Cricetulus griseus: one gene and its partner. The protein of the gene in region 1 interacts with the protein of each later gene in a pairwise test. Links are inferred from orthologs where the notes say so. Each region holds a gene or a part of one and is shown on either strand. Other genes may lie near its edges.

What was found.
Region 2: the proteins of Nab2 (region 1) and Tceanc interact in binary tests that used the Homo sapiens proteins (3 or more experiments, as listed by UniProt). The two-hybrid records come from large-scale screens. The link is inferred for Cricetulus griseus from reciprocal best matches to the Homo sapiens genes NAB2 and TCEANC.

The regions. Positions count from the first base shown.
Region 1 is NW_023276806.1:130,082,003-130,085,662, forward strand, and holds the end of Nab2 (NGFI-A-binding protein 2), read left to right. Parts: intron 1-235; coding exon 236-369; intron 370-650; coding exon 651-702; intron 703-794; coding exon 795-927; intron 928-1,127; coding exon 1,128-1,319; intron 1,320-2,268; coding exon 2,269-2,378; 3' UTR 2,379-3,128; downstream 3,129-3,660. UniProt on the Homo sapiens protein: Acts as a transcriptional repressor for zinc finger transcription factors EGR1 and EGR2. Isoform 2 lacks repression ability.
Region 2 is NC_048604.1:101,283,335-101,286,668, forward strand, and holds the end of Tceanc (transcription elongation factor A N-terminal and central domain-containing protein), read right to left. Parts: coding exon 2,950-3,334; 3' UTR 531-2,949; downstream 1-530.

The DNA of each region.
Region 1 (3,660 bases):
AGCTGAAGGGCAAGCTGAGATGGCAGTGAGCCCAACTGTCCAGCTGCTGAAGTCCCCTCAGATACAGAGGAGGTCCTGGTTGGGACGCTATGAGTCCCTCCCGTCTAACCTTCGGGATGTTCCTGGGTTTTATTTAAAGCTAGCATCCCTTGGATGGGCTCCCCCTCCCCCCTGGCGGTGAAGGGGTGAAACAGTAGGAGAATCGGCATTCACACTGGCTGTCCTCTTGCCACAGCTGACCATCAACGAGGCTGCTGCCCAGTTCTGCATGAGGGACAACACACTTTTACTTCGAAGGGTAGAACTCTTCTCATTGTCCCGCCAAGTAGCCCGAGAGAGCACCTATCTTTCCTCCTTGAAGGGATCCAGGTGAGACCCCCCCCCCTTCCCTGGGCCACCTTTGGTTGGAATCCTGCCAGAGTTGGACATCTCCTCACTTGCAGCTCAGGCAATTCCAGGCCTGCTTCCCACCTACCTGCATGTCTTCCTCTTGCCAAGTCAACTTGTCCGAGGCCTGCTCTTCACTCCCAACCCCCCACAATAATGACTGGAGATGCCTATCCAACCAGCCTCTTGGAGTTTTCCTGGCCAGATTGTGTTCCCTGTGCATCCTGGAGCCCTCCCTAACCCTGCTTTCCCTATTCTCCTAGGCTTCACTCTGAAGAGTTAGGAGGCCCACCACTGAAGAAACTGAAACAAGAGGTGTGGCTTGGGGCTTAATGGGACAGGGCAGGATAGCCTACCCTGACCACTGCTTTGCTAGGTCCTCATTTCCCAATTTTGTGCATCCACAGGTTGGGGAACAGAGTCATACCGAAATCCAGCAGCCTCCCCCAGGCCCCGAGTCCTATGCACCCCCATACCGCCCCAGCCTAGAGGAGGACAGCGCCAGTCTGTCTGGGGAGAGCCTAGATGGCCACTTGCAGGGTGAGTGCATTACTGTCTGCTTTGGGAGGAGGTGGGAGTGGGCGGGTGGGTTACAGGAGTGAGCCAGGAGTCAACTGCCTGGAGCAGGGCTGGGAGGTCTGGCTGGATGGGGACAGAAGAGCCTATGGGAATGACTTGTCGGTTGAGGGTGGGTACCGTTGGCGGCAGCCCCCTGACCTGACCAGTGCCCATGCCCACAGCTGTGGGGTCGTGCCCAAGGCTGACGCCGCCCCCTGCTGACCTGCCCCTGGCATTGCCAGCGCATGGGCTATGGAGCCGCCACATCCTGCAGCAGACACTGATGGATGAGGGGCTGCGGCTCGCCCGCCTCGTCTCCCATGATCGCGTGGGCCGCCTCAGCCCCTGTGTGCCTGCGAAGCCGCCTCTCGCAGGTGAGGCAGCCAGCAGTGCTGTCCCTAAACACCCCAGGCCCACACAGGGTCCTTCTTTTGTAGGACCAGAGGGGAGGAAGAGGGATCCCATACCACTGTCAGGCGCTCCAGCTAGTCAGACCTTGAACAGGGGCAAGCTACTGCTGGGTTGTTTACGATGGGTAGGGTCTGGGCCAGGTGGGGATCGTTGACATGGGGGAGCAGGGAACAGAATGAGGTGTGAAGGTGAACAGTAGAATCAGGAGTAAGGGAAGCCTGGCTAGAACTGCCTAATGCCGGGGTGTGGAGTCGCGGGGAGTTGTGGGGATAGGGTTCCCCAGCTTGGAAGCCAAGGAGCCCAGAGCTGGGCGCTTTTGTGTGTGGATAGGAAAGGAGTAGGCCGGCAGAGGGCCGGGCAGCCGCTGGGCTGAGAGTGACGCAGCAGACAAAGCCACCAACCCTGGCTTGGTATTTTTAAACTCTGCGTGGGTGGGGGAGTGGGGGCGGGGACTGGAGGGGGGGCTTTTCTTGAGGGAGAAGCTGGGAGTCTAGCTTCCTGTGTTTCCCCTGATTTGGCTACCAAAAACTCGGGGGGGGGGCACTTGTAGGGTAGGTGGGCCTGGGAGGGGGGCCAGAGATGAGTGGGGGCGGCTGGGGAGGGGGAGGGGGAGAGGTCAGAGCCAAGCCGCCCCCGCAGCTCCTGACAGAACCAGAAATTCCAGCAAGAGCAGAGGCGGGCGAGACAGAGAAAGAGAGAGACACACAGAGACAGAGAGCTACACACAACCAAAACAGGAGGGGAGCTGCATACACTTGGTCATGGAACCCCCGTGCACACACAGTGGGCAGGAGGCTGTAATTGAGTAACAGGAGCAATCTTCACATTTTTCTGTGCTGGCCTCACTCAGAACAGCTAGCTCTTCAGCTCAGCCTCCATCCTTGTCTCCTAACCCACACCTTTTTCCTACAGAATTCGAGGAAGGCTTGCTGGACCGATGCCCGGCCCCAGGACCTCATCCCGCTCTGGTGGAGGGTCGTAGGAGCAGTGTGAAAGTGGAGGCCGAAGCCAGCCGGCAGTGAGAGTGGGGATGTCTCAGGCCCAGGACCCAGACTTCTGGCTCACTCAGACCCCCATATTCTCCATCCTTGAACTCTAGTCACCACCCTAGAAGGATCCTTCTGCTGCCCTTCTGCCACCCATCTGCCCCATGGGCACAGGACTATGGGGCTTCAAGCAATAACAAGCAGGGGCCTGGCCAGAGGACACTAGGAGGGTGCAAGGTGCGCCCTCACCCGGCTCAGGGGCATGGACTTTGCCTACAGCCTGCTGGGGCTCTCCCTACACACACACAGACACACACACACAGACACACACACACTCTCCCTCTCTCTCTCCAATCGGCGGCCACCAGTGGTATGAACAGGCTGGGATCAGCTTGGATGTGGGGGAAAGAACTTCCTGAGAAGGTCTAGCAGTTGAAAATGGCTCTGTTCGCCCTGATACTGGGGTCTCCTGGAAAACTGGATCTCCCCATCCCCATTTTTTTTTTGTGCTTCTAGTCTGTTTCTTTTAATTTAACAAGTGCTGCGGTTTGCCCACCCATCCTCATCACCCCCCCTCCCAGCAGTTCGTTCTTGTACTGTGTGTGAGGGCTCCCCACAGTTCCCTCCACCAGCCTCTTAGAGGCCTGGGTTAGACCCTGGGTCTCCTCAGTCCAGCAGGAGGACTGCAGCACCTGTCAAACTCTTAGAGTGTCTTTCTTTTCAGATTGTGTACAGTAGATTATTTATTTTGTTATTTTGGAATAAAATTTATTTTATGGCTTAGGATCCATGATCCCCCCTCCCCCTAGGGAGGGAAAAGGGGACGGCATGAGGTGTGAATGGAGAGAAGCCGGCAGTGGATGGGAAAAATAAAAGAGCAGGTGGGGCCACCAGCGCCCAGGGCGTTACACAGCGAGGCCTGTACCCCCCTATTCAGTCCTCAGGCTCTAGAAAACACAGGAAGCATGGAGTCACCAAGGCTATAGCTATATGCATGTCACAGCCAGGTAGTTATGCCCAAAATGACATTGGGTTACTCTGAGCCTTTCAAATATGTGTTGTCACACAGGCAAAAGCAGAGATACGTGTCCTGTGTGGTCATATAGTGAGTGTGTGACATCTGTAGGTTAACATGTCTCAGGTAAACATTGGTACAGCTACACACACAAAGAAGCCTAGCTCTTGTGAGGCTCACTCTCAACTGTCACAGAGCCTCTTTTTGGCAAGAATTTGGAGCTTTGGAGGAACTTGGTTTTTAATCATTACCAGTAACCATATGCCTACACCCCCCTTTTTCCTCCCACCCAGGGTCTCCTGA
Region 2 (3,334 bases), on another chromosome or scaffold:
ACACTTCTTGCTGGGCGATGGTGGCGCACGCCTTTAGTCCCAGCACTCAGGAGGCAGAAACAGGTGGATCTCTGTGAGTTTGAGCCCAGCCTGGTCTACAAGAGCTAGTTCCAGGACAGTCCAAAGCCACAGAGAAACCCTGTCTCGAAAAAAACCAAAATAAAAAAGAAAAGAAAAAGAAACACTTCTTGCAAGCCTTTAATCCAGCACTCAGGAGGCAGAGGCAGGCAGATCTCTGTCAGTTCAAGGCCAGCCTACAAAGCTAGTTCCAGGACAGCAAAGGCTACACAAAGAAACCCTATAACAAACAAACAAACAAACAAACAAACTCACTCCTCCCTCCCTTTCTTTCTATCTCTGAGATGAGCTACAATGTGAAAGAATTATCTGTACTCAGAAAATGTAACTGTCTCACTGACCAAAAGAATAAAACACACATCACCATTTCCCTAGTTGCAAAACTAACTGACAAAGCTTATGGGAAATGAGAAAGACCGCACATATTTAAAAAAAAATCTTGGAGAATGAGAGATTTTTCCAGTTCAAGTACTTTTATTTTTGGTAAATGTAGATTACAAAATCTCAATATTAGTACTTATATGCAGATACATAGAAAACCCAAATACCAACACTGACTTGAACAAATTAAACATGGTTTTCATGTGCTGTGTGCACTCTTGCACAACCACCATCTAGGTTTTAAGATCATTCCAAGTCACATGAAACCACACTTTGTGAAACTTTTGAGTTGTTGATGACTTTGTAAGTTTCTGTTTAAAGGACTAACACATTACATTATAATGAACACCACTGGAATGCAAAATGAAGAAAATAAAACAAAATATAATTCAGACTTGACAGCCTCAAAACACAGGAAATAGAAATATCTGCTAGTTTTATGCACCCACTGGGGGAACTGTCATAAAGAGGTAAAATATACATAAAGAAAAGCCTATAGATTCCACTGAAGGAATACTGGGGATTTAGGGCACTATAATTGATGAAAACATGTGAGTTTACATGGAACTAAGAAATAAATTCTTTAATATGATAAAATCAATGAATGGTGTCTTATACCCCAAATTACAGCACTCCAGAGGTTGAGGCCAGAAGGAGTTCGAGCCTAGCTTAGGCTACAGAGTGGAGTCAGGTTTATAAAAATAGATACTCTGTCAAACAACAAAAGAAAAAATGCATATCTAACCACATGGTAACCTTCTGTGTGGATTATGCATAAAATTGATTTACATGTTAAAGAATCAAAACCCCAAATAACATTATATCATTTTTAAGGAAAAAAATTAGTAATATTAAACAAGAGGCTTGTTGTGTTTAAGCATATAAATCAGTAAACAAAGGCCTTAGAGAAGTGATTTCCACTTCAGTTAGTTAGTAAATGAATGTTGATAAATTCAAAGGCTGAGGGAGTGAACACACATGCCTTTGAAGACATGAAGATTCCTGACATCAATAAACTATGTATAATAAAGAAGATAAAGACAAGCTCACACAAAGGGAAATATGTACAGCTCATTTAACTAAGAAAGCAGGCTCTAATCCAAATTCTAACTCACAGTGCAACTTTTAATAGGTTAAGAGAGACTTGTGCCGGGCGTTGGTGGGGTGGTGCACGCCTTTAATCCCAGCACTCAGGAGGCAGAGGCAGGTGGATCTCTGTAAATTCGAGGCCAGCCTGGTCTCCAGAGCGAGTGCCAGGATAGCCAGAGATACACACAGAGAAACCCTGTCTCGAAAAATCAAAAAAAAAAAAAAAAGGAGAGAGAGACTTGTAAAAATGAGAAAATCAAGGACAAAAGGATAAAACTCTAGTCATGTAAACTTAAGAGGCCCCAAACACTATTTTCTTAGCACCCATTTCCAGGAGTGCACTTTTTGCATAGTCAATAGGAAGTCATATTCAGACTGTGCATCTTTTTGTTTTGACATTCTTTCTCTACAAAACCCAGGCTGGCTTCATCCATGGGAGTCTGCCTCAGCATCTCCAATGCTAGGATTATGTATTTGAAGCACCACAATGTACTTGTACTATTTTTTTGAGACAGGGACTTTACAATCTAAATTGGCCCTGAACTCACATAAACCTTCCTGCTTCATCCTCCCTAGCATCTGGATTACAGACATGTGCCATCACACTTGCTTCAGAAGGAAGGTATATAATTTGGGATCAGTGTGAGGCAGACTACCTACAGTTATGTAACCTGGTTAAGTCACTGAAGATCTCTGGGCCTCTTTCCTCATCTGTAAGTCTCCAGAATATCATTCATTTCTTCAGAACTATAGAAAGGCTCAAATGAGACTATTTACAGGTATTTCTCAACTCTAACAACAACTTAAAGCAAACTAAGAAATAACCAGAGCAATGTTGATGCCTGGGTCCCACGCCATAGGTTCAGACTGAATTATTCTAGGCTTGGCCCTCAGCACCAGTATACTTCAATGCGCCCAAGAAAACTCTAATGTATAGTCATTCTGAAACCCACAGGCCTGCAACTTTATCAGAGGATGACCTGGGGATTCTACCAAGTTGCAGATCAGGATTCAAAGAGTATCAGTCCAGAGAGTCTGCCTCTCTAACATGATCTCAGGCTGTGTAGAGCTACTGTGCTACTCTGAATGGCCACAAGTACAACGTGATAGTCTTGTACTTTTCCCAAACAACTTTTTAACAATGGTGGCCTGCACTTTGGCAAACAACTCTCTTTCCTTATTCCCAGGACTGTAGTAAGAACAGTATACCAAGCCAGGTGTGGTAGTGTATATCTGTAATTCCAGCTCTGAGGAGACTGAGGCTAACTGTGCTTGCATAGTAAGATCTTTCACAAGCCAAAATCCCAAAGACAAAATAGCAGTAAGATTCTATAAAAAATGAACACAAAAGGGTTATGTTATACACATAAAACACACACCCCTGAAGGGATTATTTACAAATTACAAGCACACCCAGTTGCTATGGTACCACTGCTCCCCACATTCATTACAAATGACATAGGTCATTTGTTCATCCGGATTTGAATTCTGCACCCAACTTGGAAGGAAAAGTGTTCCTCTTGCAATTACAGTGATCTTGCAGTTATATTTCTCACAGCGCCTGCACTTTATTTTATTTGTCTGTGTGCCTTCAACTGTTTGGGGAAGGTGATGTTCCTGAATACTGGATTCTGTGTAGGAAGCTCTCAACTGCTTCAGTTCCTCATTTGCCATGTCCAGGACAGTCATTTCAGCAAATTCTCTTGCAGACATGGTTCCAGAGAGCAACTTTTGTTGTAAATGAGAATTCTTGGGGTTGTTCAAATTGGCAACTTTGCTTCGAATA